Saccharomyces cerevisiae S288C: one gene and its partners. The gene in region 1 interacts genetically with each later gene. Each region holds a gene or a part of one and is shown on either strand. Other genes may lie near its edges.

Evidence for each region.
Region 2: mutations in ZWF1 (region 1) and NQM1 are lethal when combined (synthetic lethality), as found in Saccharomyces cerevisiae (2 studies listed by BioGRID, with this or other methods).
Region 3: mutations in ZWF1 (region 1) and SHB17 impair growth when combined (synthetic growth defect), as found in Saccharomyces cerevisiae (one study listed by BioGRID).

Annotation. Positions count from the first base shown.
Region 1 is NC_001146.8:194,050-202,593, reverse strand, and holds ZWF1 (glucose-6-phosphate dehydrogenase), read left to right. Parts: upstream 1-4,650; coding exon 4,651-6,168; downstream 6,169-8,544. Other genes in the region: kexin KEX2, read right to left, coding at 1-166; LAP3 (bleomycin hydrolase), read right to left, coding at 661-2,025; iron-sulfur cluster assembly protein NAR1, read left to right, coding at 2,617-4,092; ATG2 (Atg2p), read right to left, coding at 6,492-8,544. UniProt on the Saccharomyces cerevisiae protein: Catalyzes the rate-limiting step of the oxidative pentose-phosphate pathway, which represents a route for the dissimilation of carbohydrates besides glycolysis.
Region 2 is NC_001139.9:579,935-583,300, reverse strand, and holds NQM1 (sedoheptulose-7-phosphate:D-glyceraldehyde-3-phosphate transaldolase NQM1), read left to right. Parts: upstream 1-1,864; coding exon 1,865-2,866; downstream 2,867-3,366. Other genes in the region: RME1 (Rme1p), read left to right, coding at 1-311; MTE1 (Mte1p), read right to left, coding at 3,010-3,366. UniProt on the Saccharomyces cerevisiae protein: Transaldolase is important for the balance of metabolites in the pentose-phosphate pathway.
Region 3 is NC_001143.9:520,397-523,442, forward strand, and holds SHB17 (sedoheptulose-bisphosphatase), read right to left. Parts: upstream 1,317-3,046; coding exon 501-1,316; downstream 1-500. Other genes in the region: SUN family protein UTH1, read left to right, coding at 1-228; UIP5 (Uip5p), read left to right, coding at 1,619-2,950; YKR045C (uncharacterized protein), read right to left, coding at 3,022-3,046. UniProt on the Saccharomyces cerevisiae protein: Sedoheptulose 1,7-bisphosphatase involved in riboneogenesis. Dephosphorylates sedoheptulose 1,7-bisphosphate (SBP), which is converted via the non-oxidative pentose phosphate pathway to ribose-5-phosphate.

The DNA.
Region 1 (8,544 bases):
TCCAATTTGGATGCATTTCCTCCAAGCGGGATAATGTTTCATTGCTTTCTACAGCAAAATACTGTCGTGACGTATGGTCCTTCAATGGAATTTGTTGTGATGATACAAGAGCGGATGTTGAAAAGGCCCACCAAAAGCATAAAGTAATATATTTCCTCACTTTCATCTGATAATGGGTTAGTAGTTTATAATTATGTGACGAGGCCAAAAAACAACGGGATTAGTTTATCCTTAGTATGGTAGCCGAATGAATGAAATATGTGGAATAGATTTCTCTTTTACAAAACGGGATGTTTAAGCCAGGAAAAAGAACAGGCTTATGACAGAATTATGCATATGAAACGAGAGAAAGAACACGTCCAGCAAATATGGAGTACCTTGTTTGCCTTTAGAAAATGTTTCGGTTTCAATACTGTTCTCTTCAGCGATGCTGTTGAAGTATCAGCTCAGTTATTTAATATGCTAACCTTTCCTTTGTTTGTTTTCTTTTTCTATCTTTATTTTTTTTCCATTTACCGTTTTTTGCGTTTCAGAAAATGACCCTCATTGATTATATGAATAATAATATACACGTTATCATTTTTTATTTCTTTTATGTATGTATAGTAAAAATAAAACATGTCGAGATACGTGTATCTACATCAGAGCTGCTGAAACTATTTATTTGGCCAAAGCACCCATTGGGTCCCAGATGGGCAAGACAATCGGCTCTTCCTTACCTGAGGTGAATTTTGAAGCCAGCTCTTTTGGCAATTCATTGATATCGACCACAATTTGAAAGCAGTACTCCTCGAAGTACTTTTGAGTCATCACGTATAATCCGTCTTTACCGGAGTCTTTACCCCAGGAATTTTCAACGCGGTAGCGAAGTGGTAATTTAGACGTTTCATCGACGTGGCAGCCAGTGATCAACATAGCATGAGTCATCAAACTTTCATGGTATCTAATACGCGATGCCTTTTGCTGAGGTAAATTATAGCCGATGGCAGGATAGTTCCACAATTCAATATCCATGACACCAGTTTTCTTGTCCATGAACTTTGGAGTGTGAGATCCAAAAAAGACAGCTTTGTTATTTTGTAATCTCTTAACAACCAATTTAGATAGTGTTTCATTGTCAACATTTAAGTAAATCACGGCATCTCCGCCAAGGACGTTTCCTAAACGATCGATCTTAATTAATTTACCATATGGGTGTCTTGGATCATTGATCAATGAGACTGGCGTGGAAGGGTCCAATTTTGCGTATTTGGAGGCAAATTCTAACGGAGTCGATTTGATAGTGTGGATTTTCTTGTCTTTGTCAACGTATTCCCAAGTGAATTGCTCGTTTGGTTGCACTGGAGGTATGTCCATGAACAACGACATCAACCTGAAGATTTCTCTTTGCATTTGCTCTCTCAGAGTGACAATTATGGAATCATCGGCAGAACGCTCTTTCAAAGCTGTTCTTAGAGTCTCGGCAAATTCTCTCAGTTTAGTAGTCAACAGAGAATTCCATTTTCTGGACGCAGTAGTAGAATAAGGTAGATCCCCGTATAAATCTTTGGGGATAAGGCCATACTTCTTGACTAGGTTCAAAAACATGCTGTATTGGCCACCGTCTTCTGTTGGAGCTGCTAACAAGTATTGCACGAGACGTGAGTCGATGTCTTGATCAGCCGAGGAGACGATTTGGTCCAAGAAATAGTTGGCCTTTTCCAACTTATCGTAAAAGAACAAGTAAGCTTGGGACAGTTCGAATTCTTTTAAGTTCAATTCAGAAAGAACATTCAAGCGCAGTTGATTGGTAGCGGCAAACAACCAACATCTACCAGAGCTTTTTTGGTTGGTGACTGGAGTGGAATCAGTAGAGACAACAGTGTTGAAAACCCTGTTATCTTGCTTTTGCAGTCTAGTCTTGTTCAACAGTGCATCATCGGCATTATAATTCTTAAGGACAGTGGTTGCCAATTGATGGGTTAAGTCGGATTGAAACTCTTTGTTCCAAGAGTTGATCTTACTGATATCGATGGAAGAGGACATTCTTTTTAAAACAATTTGTGGTGCTCGTAAAAGGTGGCTTCTAAACGTCTTGAGATACAAGGACCGGGAAACAGAAGTAGGAAGCATGTAACAAAAGAGCAAGGGCTATTTATCGTTTATTTATGGGTGCCCGTCGGCGACTTGTCAGCCGGCGTTATCAATTGATTACCACATGCAACCCCATTGATTAAGAGAGCAGGTGACTTTCTGGTGGGAGGGGAAAAAAGGATGTGTCACTCACTACCCGGCGATTGCATGCTATTTGACACATACTAAAGCAAAATAACATATGTAGCATAATCAATAAAGCGACTATTTTCTAAATTTCAAAAAGCACTGAATATACGATGCCTCTTCACAGGATTAAGAGACAAAATTTGCCTGTTTGTAAAGCATATTGCCTGCCTTTCCGCTAGTTTTTTCTTTTCCACTTCCTATTTTCTTTTTTTACCAGTTTTCCCTGCTCATCGCATGAAGAAAAAAATGATAAAAGCGTTTTATGGTGATGACTAAGAAACTTGTCTTGTCAGCTGGAAAGATAAGAGAGGGAGCTTCCTTTTCCTGAGTGACAAGATAAGTGTACAAGAAAGCATGAGTGCTCTACTGTCCGAGTCTGACCTAAACGATTTTATCAGTCCCGCCCTTGCGTGCGTCAAACCTACCCAGGTGAGCGGGGGCAAGAAGGATAACGTTAACATGAACGGAGAATACGAGGTGAGCACGGAACCAGACCAACTGGAGAAGGTCTCTATTACCCTATCAGACTGCCTCGCGTGTTCTGGTTGTATAACGTCTAGTGAAGAAATCTTGTTGAGTAGCCAAAGTCACTCGGTTTTCCTGAAAAACTGGGGGAAGCTTTCGCAGCAGCAAGACAAATTCCTCGTTGTGAGTGTCTCGCCACAATGCAGACTATCTCTTGCGCAGTACTACGGCTTAACATTGGAGGCGGCCGATTTGTGTTTGATGAATTTTTTCCAAAAGCATTTCCAGTGCAAGTATATGGTTGGAACGGAGATGGGCAGAATCATATCGATTAGCAAAACCGTAGAGAAGATCATTGCGCATAAGAAACAAAAAGAAAATACCGGTGCGGACCGCAAGCCTCTATTATCTGCTGTGTGTCCGGGATTTCTTATATACACGGAAAAGACCAAACCGCAGTTGGTGCCTATGCTGCTCAATGTCAAGTCGCCTCAGCAAATTACGGGCTCGTTGATCAGAGCTACGTTCGAGAGTCTCGCTATCGCGCGTGAGTCCTTTTACCATCTGTCGCTGATGCCATGTTTTGACAAGAAACTAGAAGCGTCAAGGCCAGAATCGCTTGACGATGGGATTGACTGTGTCATTACGCCACGTGAAATAGTGACAATGTTACAAGAGTTGAATTTAGACTTCAAGTCGTTTCTTACTGAGGACACAAGTTTATATGGGCGGCTATCACCGCCGGGATGGGACCCGCGAGTCCACTGGGCGTCGAATCTGGGAGGCACTTGTGGTGGCTATGCCTACCAGTACGTAACGGCTGTCCAACGACTACACCCAGGAAGTCAGATGATAGTTCTGGAGGGTAGAAACAGCGACATTGTCGAGTACCGATTGCTGCACGATGATCGCATAATAGCCGCCGCCAGCGAGCTTTCCGGGTTTAGAAACATCCAAAATCTGGTGCGTAAACTGACCTCGGGCTCCGGGTCAGAGCGCAAGAGGAACATCACCGCTCTGCGGAAGAGACGAACAGGTCCAAAGGCGAACTCACGCGAGATGGCGGCCGCCACGGCCGCCACGGCCGATCCCTACCACTCGGACTACATCGAGGTAAACGCGTGTCCGGGTGCATGCATGAACGGTGGTGGCCTACTCAATGGCGAGCAAAACAGTCTCAAGCGGAAGCAGTTGGTTCAGACACTGAATAAGCGTCACGGAGAGGAGCTAGCAATGGTAGATCCTCTAACCCTGGGACCCAAGCTAGAAGAGGCGGCAGCCCGCCCGCTTTCGCTAGAGTACGTCTTCGCGCCCGTCAAGCAGGCCGTCGAAAAGGATCTCGTCTCTGTTGGGAGCACCTGGTAAGTAAGGTGTAGTTTTGCACCCGTGTACATAAGCGTGAAATCACCACAAACTGTGTGTATCAAGTACATAGTGACATTTAAATAATAGCAAGAACAACAATAATAGTAGCGCTACTGGAAGCACCACGTAATAGTGGAAAAGAACTGGAAAAACCGCTATAAGATGCATACTCCGGCGGTCTTACGCGGAGATACAAGCTTCCAACGGTGCTAAAAGCCCGGTTTCGGCTCGGCCGGAGGAGGAAGAGAGACGAAAAAAAAAAAAATGACTAAAAAAAAAATGGAATATTATTAATGTGGGATTTTTGGCTCAAGGTGTGGTGGCCCCTTTTCTAAGGGTGGCGAATTCTTCAATGTACGGAAAACTCGCCAAGGCTATCCCATATATAAGCAAACTGTGGGTTCATCTATATACCGACACATAACACCTAAAGTGGCTTCCTCCTGCCCCTCTCTCCCTTTTCTCCACTCACCCCTCCTTCTCCCCCTTCCCCCTCTCCAATTGGCTGTATAGACAGAAAGAGTAAATCCAATAGAATAGAAAACCACATAAGGCAAGATGAGTGAAGGCCCCGTCAAATTCGAAAAAAATACCGTCATATCTGTCTTTGGTGCGTCAGGTGATCTGGCAAAGAAGAAGACTTTTCCCGCCTTATTTGGGCTTTTCAGAGAAGGTTACCTTGATCCATCTACCAAGATCTTCGGTTATGCCCGGTCCAAATTGTCCATGGAGGAGGACCTGAAGTCCCGTGTCCTACCCCACTTGAAAAAACCTCACGGTGAAGCCGATGACTCTAAGGTCGAACAGTTCTTCAAGATGGTCAGCTACATTTCGGGAAATTACGACACAGATGAAGGCTTCGACGAATTAAGAACGCAGATCGAGAAATTCGAGAAAAGTGCCAACGTCGATGTCCCACACCGTCTCTTCTATCTGGCCTTGCCGCCAAGCGTTTTTTTGACGGTGGCCAAGCAGATCAAGAGTCGTGTGTACGCAGAGAATGGCATCACCCGTGTAATCGTAGAGAAACCTTTCGGCCACGACCTGGCCTCTGCCAGGGAGCTGCAAAAAAACCTGGGGCCCCTCTTTAAAGAAGAAGAGTTGTACAGAATTGACCATTACTTGGGTAAAGAGTTGGTCAAGAATCTTTTAGTCTTGAGGTTCGGTAACCAGTTTTTGAATGCCTCGTGGAATAGAGACAACATTCAAAGCGTTCAGATTTCGTTTAAAGAGAGGTTCGGCACCGAAGGCCGTGGCGGCTATTTCGACTCTATAGGCATAATCAGAGACGTGATGCAGAACCATCTGTTACAAATCATGACTCTCTTGACTATGGAAAGACCGGTGTCTTTTGACCCGGAATCTATTCGTGACGAAAAGGTTAAGGTTCTAAAGGCCGTGGCCCCCATCGACACGGACGACGTCCTCTTGGGCCAGTACGGTAAATCTGAGGACGGGTCTAAGCCCGCCTACGTGGATGATGACACTGTAGACAAGGACTCTAAATGTGTCACTTTTGCAGCAATGACTTTCAACATCGAAAACGAGCGTTGGGAGGGCGTCCCCATCATGATGCGTGCCGGTAAGGCTTTGAATGAGTCCAAGGTGGAGATCAGACTGCAGTACAAAGCGGTCGCATCGGGTGTCTTCAAAGACATTCCAAATAACGAACTGGTCATCAGAGTGCAGCCCGATGCCGCTGTGTACCTAAAGTTTAATGCTAAGACCCCTGGTCTGTCAAATGCTACCCAAGTCACAGATCTGAATCTAACTTACGCAAGCAGGTACCAAGACTTTTGGATTCCAGAGGCTTACGAGGTGTTGATAAGAGACGCCCTACTGGGTGACCATTCCAACTTTGTCAGAGATGACGAATTGGATATCAGTTGGGGCATATTCACCCCATTACTGAAGCACATAGAGCGTCCGGACGGTCCAACACCGGAAATTTACCCCTACGGATCAAGAGGTCCAAAGGGATTGAAGGAATATATGCAAAAACACAAGTATGTTATGCCCGAAAAGCACCCTTACGCTTGGCCCGTGACTAAGCCAGAAGATACGAAGGATAATTAGAAAAATGCAAGCACATTCATTTATCGGCTAAGTCACTGAAATTTTTTTTTTCGAGTGATTTTATCTTGCAAGCTCACTCTCTTTGTTCTTTTCTCCTCTATAATGGCATCTTCCCCCCACCAACTCCTCTCTACTTGCGTGTGTATTTGTTTGTATACATGTGTAAATATATATACATAAAAGAATGTCGTCTCATGTATTTTTTAACTTTTAGCCGCGGTCAGTGACATTTTGGCTTTCCCACCATTCCACGTCTGAAAAAAAAAAAAAAAAAAGAGATAAAATATGAATTGAATATATATCAAAAATGTCTGCAAAAATTTTTACGAATCAGTCCGATTGGACTTGTACTTATCATTGATTTGCTCGTTATGCGTCTTATCCACTTGATTAGCTATTCCCTGTAAAGTCTTAGACACTGCCTCAGTGGCCCCAATTAACGGCCGAATAATTGCCACAGGTGCAGCTCTAGCAACATAAACTGCTGCGGCGCTCGGCCCTCCCCGTTTATCATCCTTCATCTGTCCCTTTGCCCTCCATACCGCATCGTACGCAATATGCATATGCTTTTCTAATGAACTATACGCCTCCTTCAAACCCGTGGGCAGGTCGAGGGGCTGATCTGCGTACAGACTCACTATTGTGGGTTCGTTGTGATCTCCCGGTGAAGACATATCGATGACTACTGCCGTGGGCTCATGATCTCTTATCCTGGAATATTTACTACCAACTAACTGATCCTCCTCGAATAAAGTATCCAAGTCTAATACAGCTGCAGTATCACTGTCTGCACCATCAGCGGAGCCAAATTTCGATGCATCGTACACCCTGCCATTGGAACCAACACCACCGAATAGTTCCTCGGTGTTCTCCAATATCGCCTGTGTCCCTGAAGTTAATTTAACTCCCAATTTCACAAAATCTCCCGTTGTCGTTTTCAAGAAGACATTGCCACCCTTTTTCAGACTCCTTCCCAAATGCCCTTCTTGCCTGTATTCTGACATTAGTACTGTGACTAGGGTCTTCACCCCTGACCCAATCGCCATAAACGATCTGACAGGAGCCAGTCCTTCCAAAACGCCAGGCAGCTGCTTTTTGGTAATATCCGGCGTCCAAATGGCTTTCAGTTTATTATTTAATTCATCGAATCCATTTAATCCATACAGGACTACGCTTTTCAAAATAATCTTGGATCCATCAAGGGTAAAAAAATTCATCAATTCAGAAGTTTGGCCCGATCTTAAACCCGCATAATCAACTTTTTTCGGCTTATAATCTAATCTTAACTTAATTGAATTAGTGCTAAATTTTTGAATAAATACAATATCTGGATACTCATCAATTAATTCAAATCTTTTATCTTTGAACCCTAAGAACCTTATTAGAAACTCTAAAGTGTCTTGATCCACGTGAAGGCGTAAAGGCGCAACATTTAATTGCATGACTAATTCCACTGCTTGCAAAAAGTCGATCGGCCGGATAAATTCCAGGTCCAGAAGAAACATCGGAGAACTGTGTGGCCACGGTTCGTGCTTTAGCAAAGTTACAAATTTATTCCAGGTGGACGTGGGAACATTATCGATAATTTCAAATTCGTAAATGGAAACTACACATCGGTTCAAAACATCTGTGGAATTATCAGAGTTAGACTCATCGGGTTCATCTACTCGATAATTCTTCAAATTGACATGTACTTTGTTCAATTGAATCAGGGCTTTGTAATGCTTAGAAGGTCGCAAATTAACTTTAGAGACATCAGAGAAGGAATTCTGAACCCCCTGGATCTCACCATCAAGATTTCTTCTCAAATCTGTGACATTGTTTTTGTTAGCAGATATATAAATAGAGTCAAAAATATTTGCCTCTGATTGGGGTACATTTGATTTCGAACTGCTTGCTTCCGCTTTACTGAGCTCTTTATCCAGTTTTTCAACAGTATTAGCGATAAATTTCCGCGTATATTTCCAATCATACCCATCGAATAGTTTTATAACAACTTTTTCGACATCTATACTACCCCTTATATCCACATCCCTTTCTTGCTCTTTTGAGGCGATTGGTGGAGTATCTTCTTCTTTTGGCTGAGCAGAGTCTAGATAACTCTCATGGGGAAGTAAAATACCACCTGTGGCAGTTCCAGAGGAACTGTCCATTTCATATGAACCTTGAGAGGATAGTTTACTTCTGGCACCATTGTTGAACTCGTGAGTTTTGTCGAGAAAACTGTCTACCAAATGCACTGAGTCGTAATCATTTTGATGATTGTTCTCCCGGATGAAGGCAGAATTGAAAAGATCACAATCGATGTCTTTGAATACATCGATAGGATTTTTCAACTGCGTTCTAAATTTTTCCTCATCAGGAAACGTCTGAGGA
Region 2 (3,366 bases), on another chromosome or scaffold:
ACGAATTCAACCTTGAAAGACCGTGTAAGTGTCCCATAGAGCAATGTCCCTGGAAAATATTGGGTTTCCAACAAGCAACTGGTCTGAGAAGACATTGTGCTTCCCAACATATAGGAGAGCTTGATATAGAGATGGAGAAATCATTAAATCTAAAAGTAGAAAAATATCCAGGACTGAATTGCCCATTTCCTATCTGTCAGAAAACGTTTAGGCGCAAAGACGCCTATAAGAGACATGTGGCCATGGTGCATAACAACGCTGATTCAAGATTTAACAAGCGTTTGAAGAAAATTTTGAACAATACCAAATAGTTGAGGCATTAAAAATGTACCCCATGAAACTCTTGTTAAATTTGTGCAGGCATGAAAGCTACTGTATTTTTTCTTAAAGTAATAAAAATAAAACACAATGATATTAAAGAAAACGCATGCAACTATGGACACTTGCTATGTCGTGAATATGGCACCACGTTGGTTACTTAGCTAAATAAAAAATCGTAAGTACTCGCATTTTTTCTTCTATATTCACTTTGCTTCTTTGGACAGTTATTTCAATAATAAATATTTCTTTTTTTCTAATCTCCCTTATCACCTAAGAGGAAAAAGTTTGAAAATAAACTTATGGCTAGAGGTTATTTGGTATTCCGAGAAAACATTTGAAACTAGGAAGTTTACATATCAGTGCAATTATGTTTCCTTCGATGATTCACGTACCCTCAAAGTCAGTACCATAAAATTGAAAATAAGACAGGTGTTTTTTTTTTTTTTTTTAATCATACAAGAATTCAACCACTTAAGTAGGATATTAGCGCTTCTTGTGCCGAAAGTCTCGTAATTTCCAATTTATATGTTTTTTAGTTGCATCGCCCTGGTTCCACAAACCGTATTTACGAACCCTCTAGGTAATAGTATCTTTGGCAGTTCTTTTCCAGCTAAGATTTTTATGTTCTCACCGTTGGCGGTTATTTTTCTAAATACCCTCAATGAAAAACTCACATCGCACGCACATTTCCTGAAAATATCTTTGAGAAATATAGCAATCCTCGAGAACAATTGCAGGACAGGAAAAATATTAAGAAACAATAATCGCTAGATCAATCATTTTATGGAAAAAGATCTGTACAGCCAAGAAGAAGAAAAAAAAGAAGAAAAATGGCATTACTCTTTTGTAATTTTCTTGATGAATAATATGGGGGGACAATATAATAAATGCACACTATCTGGTTGAATAGACCAAAAAAGATAGCTTTCTTTTTCTACTTTTTTTCTTTTTTATATTAATTTTTTTCTTTTTTCACATTTTCAAGGTCAGCATTGTATTAAATCTATTCATGCCAGAAAGCCATTATTCATTATTTTTCAAATAGGGGTAGCGGCTTTTTCATCAACTCGATTATTACCCTTTAGAGACCTTCCCTAAAGTGAGCGGCAATTATTTCCGGATGTTAGTAGGGTAATATGGTTACGGATTTGTGACACAAAAGGGCTTTTCAACAGTCGGTCTGGGTTGAAGGATTTTCAGGATGACGAAGCTTTCAATAAGAGGGACTGGACTGTTAACGCGGGGAATTATAGGTTACTTTCCTTGATCTGGCTCTGGCTCTGGCTCTGATTTTGGCTCTTGTACTCCTCGGACTTCTTGACTTGTAACGAAATACGTCTTTTGTCCTTCTCTTCTTCTTCCATAGTAGGGGCGAATGAGGGGAGCATAGTGGATCCTTCTAACCATCTAGAATGGGGTGGACAACATATAAAAGAAGAGCAATCTTGCAGCGCAGTCATATTTATGCTAAGTATATCATTATTTCTTGCTAGCGTAAGTCATAAAAAATAGGAAATAATCACATATATACAAGAAATTAAATATGTCAGAACCTTCAGAGAAAAAACAAAAAGTTGCTACCTCATCTTTAGAACAATTAAAAAAGGCCGGGACCCATGTGGTTGCTGATTCGGGTGATTTTGAGGCTATTTCGAAGTATGAACCACAGGATTCAACAACTAACCCTTCTCTGATATTGGCTGCTTCAAAGTTGGAGAAATATGCGAGGTTTATCGACGCTGCCGTTGAATATGGTAGAAAGCATGGCAAAACTGATCATGAGAAAATCGAGAACGCCATGGATAAGATTTTGGTGGAATTCGGCACCCAGATTTTGAAGGTAGTCCCAGGAAGGGTTTCCACTGAAGTAGACGCAAGGTTATCTTTTGATAAGAAGGCGACGGTGAAGAAGGCTCTCCACATCATCAAACTATATAAAGATGCGGGAGTACCTAAAGAAAGAGTCTTGATCAAGATAGCTTCTACGTGGGAGGGTATCCAAGCTGCTAGAGAATTGGAAGTAAAGCATGGTATTCATTGTAATATGACATTACTGTTTTCCTTTACGCAAGCAGTAGCCTGTGCGGAGGCAAATGTCACATTGATCTCCCCATTTGTTGGAAGGATTATGGACTTTTACAAGGCCCTTTCAGGCAAAGACTATACTGCAGAAACTGATCCCGGTGTTCTTTCTGTTAAGAAGATATACAGTTACTATAAGAGGCATGGTTATGCAACTGAGGTAATGGCGGCTTCTTTCAGGAATTTAGATGAATTGAAGGCGTTAGCCGGTATTGATAATATGACTCTCCCACTGAACCTTCTAGAACAGTTATATGAATCAACAGATCCTATTGAAAACAAATTGAATTCTGAGAGTGCTAAGGAAGAAGGCGTCGAAAAAGTCTCTTTTATCAACGACGAGCCTCATTTCAGATATGTTTTAAACGAAGATCAAATGGCTACAGAAAAACTATCAGATGGTATCAGAAAATTCTCCGCAGACATTGAAGCACTGTACAAACTGGTTGAAGAAAAAATGTGATCATTAAGAGTAGAGGTACCTACTTATATATATAAATATATATATACCACTTTCCTTTTCGGTACTTAGTATTGAATTTGTTTGAGTATATGTGCATAGCATAGTGTACAGACTTATATATTCATTAAAATTCTGACGTATAATCAAATTCCGAGGGGTTCGTGAACAATTCTTCGTATCCCGCCCACTCTCCTTTTACCACTTTTGGATAGGTTCGCCATATCTTTCTTTCTGTCGGAACCGTCTCTGACTTTAGCTTCTTCGGTAATCGTGGCGTAATTACCTTGCGCAATATTATCATTATTCAACGCAACTTTTCCGGCTGTCTGCACTTTAGTGCTTGTGTTTGTTTCGTGTAGTTGTGGTGTCACTTCCTGAATCTTTTGGCTCCTTATGCTCGGTCTATTTGATTCATTTACCACATTAGTACTTAATATCCTCTTGGGCTTCTTGAAAGGCTTATTGACCTTCAGAGTAAGTTTGCTGATGTTGAATCCTCC
Region 3 (3,046 bases), on another chromosome or scaffold:
GCCCCAGTTGTCTTGGGTGCTGGTTACACTGATGGTATCACTTACTTGTCCATCATTCCAAACCCAAACAACAAAGAAGCACCAAACTTTAACATCAAGATCGTTGCCACCGATGGCTCTACCGTCAATGGTGCTTGCTCTTACGAAAATGGTGTCTACTCTGGCTCTGGCTCTGACGGTTGTACTGTTTCAGTTACTTCTGGTTCTGCTAACTTTGTCTTCTACTAGGCCTTTTTTCCTTGAATATTGCAAATAAGCTTTTGCTAGTACTTTTTTTACTCCGTTCATTTTATGGTTTATTTTTCAATTAGTTCGTTTTTCCACAATACAAAAAAACACAGTCCTTTGTACTATCCCTTTTATTTCATTATTTTTTCTTTTTTAAGATACCACTAGATATTATCATATATAGCATATTATATAACATAAAAAGTCAAGAAAAAAAATGTTTTTATCACTTTCTATAACTGCATATCTTTTTTTGCATTTCGAATGATTGCTTACACATCGCCATGCTGGGATTCCTCCTCTGGTGGTGAGACAAATGGACCTGCTAATTCCAATGCAGGTTCGTCAATGTTGTGGTGAGCGTATGACAAAACACCAATCCCACCGGCGTCCAGTAAGAAACATGGATTGTCTACCAAATGTCTGTAAGATTCCAATTTCACATATGGAACTGTGTCGTCATCATAAGATTTGACATTTTGAATTTCTTCAATCGTCTCACACTTCTTTTGCACACCCAGTCCAAACCAAATAGCAGCAAAATAACGCAATGCATGTCCGTGCGCAAAGACCATGATGTCTGATGCTCTGCCCTCACTCTGGTGCTTGCGGTGCAAGTTCTGGATTCTGGCAATAGCGCGGGAAAGTCTCAACCCAATTTGCTGAGTAGTCTCACCGTTCTCACACCCATCTCTCCAGATATTCCATGGCCTCTCCTTGTCCAAACCGCGTGACTTTCTCAATTCAATGATTTCTCGAGTCAGCATTCCCTCGTAGTCACCGTACTCCCACTCTCGCAAGTCGTCGTCTACCACCACACGGATCTTAGCTCTTTGCTCGTCGCTTAATGGTTTCAAAACCAAATCCACAGTTTGCCTGGCACGCAAACGTGGAGAGGTGAAGATATAAGTGATGTTGTCTGGATTCAAAAACTGATTATTGCGGAAAACACTCTCACCGGTCCTCAACATTTGGCCCTCACCGTAGGGCGTTAACGGTAGATCTGTCAAACCAGTATACTGGCCTGACTTGGACCATTCAGTTTGACCGTGTCTGACAATGATACATCTGGGGGTTAGCGAAGGCATTGTTGCTTGCAATTAAGTGTAGGTGTTTCCCTATCCACTTAGCTATGAACAAAATGTGCTTATCTGAGCTAATATTTTTTCATTTTTGTCCTATAAATAATAATGGAAAAAAAAAACTCATCGCGTGGTTGAACAGAAAAAAAACAATAAGAGTGAGTAAGCAGTGAAAAATGTAAGATTTACGCTTTATATAAGCAGATTTTGGTTTCCTTTATATATTTTTGCATTTGTCTATCCTTAACATTGGATAGCAATTTGGCGGTGGGTAGTTTATAACGTGTGTGCTCTCTCTTTAAGTAACGATGTCAAGAGATGTAAGGGCAGAGAAACTAGCCATATCACTATTGATTTTATCATTGTTTCTAATATTCCAATTAGTGGCTGAGATTTATCTCAATAATGGTGATCAGTACCATACAGAGACTAGCCCCTTTACAAGAGGAAGATCACATGTAACGCGTGTGCCCAACCATGATGCTAGTTTATCTATACCGTTTTTGGACAAGATCAACCAGTTTTGGCATGTAGGCGGTGCCACGCAAATTAGGAATATTCAGTCGATCAAATTGACTCAGGACCGTGATCAAGATAAACATGGATTAGTATTGTCCAATGGAATTGGCGACAACACCATCAATGACTTTGAGATTGTTTTCACTTTCAGAATTTCTCACGACCCCACTACACAACTCACTGGTGATGGAATGTGTTTTGCCATTACGCCCGAAAATGGGTTTCTCACACAGAATTTACAGTCGTCGTATGCGAAAAAGCAATACATGATGAATTCTCAGGGCGTCATAGCCGATAATACAGATCTGATGGGCTTCCCGAAAAATCTGCCTGGCCTATTTATTGTCTTGGATACGTATCGCAACCAAGGCCACGACCATAAGGAGGTACCCTTTATGGATGTGTTTATAAATGTGGCCCCAGAAAGCGATTGGTACGATATAAATAGTGATGGTGAACTCAGTACATCGCTGCGGCTTAATTCAAGAGGCCACATAAAACTCAAGAAAAATGCCCTGTGGAATCGAGTCACGAAACTAAGAATAATATATTTGGAAAGTATAAGCTTCCTGAAGATCGACGTGCAGTACGCAAAAGAGGGAAACTACTGGATTGAGTTATTTCAAACAACCGAAAATCTGTACTTGCCGAAAAACATGCACACGGGGCAAAGATACATTGGCTGTAGCGCATTAAATGGCCAATTAACGGAGACAGTGGAGCTGCTGGACGTATCCACTAGCGAATTCCATTGGAACGACATGGATGCGTCCATTGAGGACACCTATGATTACGCAAAGGAAGCTGAGCTATTCCTGGAGCAGGAATTTGGCGAGGTCCTTGACAGGGAACCCGATGAGTTCACCAAATGGAAAATGATCAAAGCTCAACCAAACATCAAGACTGGGTCACAGTCAGCTGAACAGAAAACTTCAAACAATCCTCACTCTCGGTTGTTCAAGGTCGTGCTGACCATATGGCATTATAGCGAGATTTTGCTATTGATCATGGGCATTTATCTTTTTTCTGCTTGCATAAGAGTTTTCCAAAGAAGGTTCAAAAAAATTAGATCCAGAAGAAAAAGGGCAGGCTCGCATTCTGTGGGGCTATTGCCCATGTAGCATTGCATAGGCACGCACATACATACATACACAAATAATACAATATAGGACGTTCATCTTAGGTAGCCAATTCACGGTCTTCTTGTGGTAGTGTTA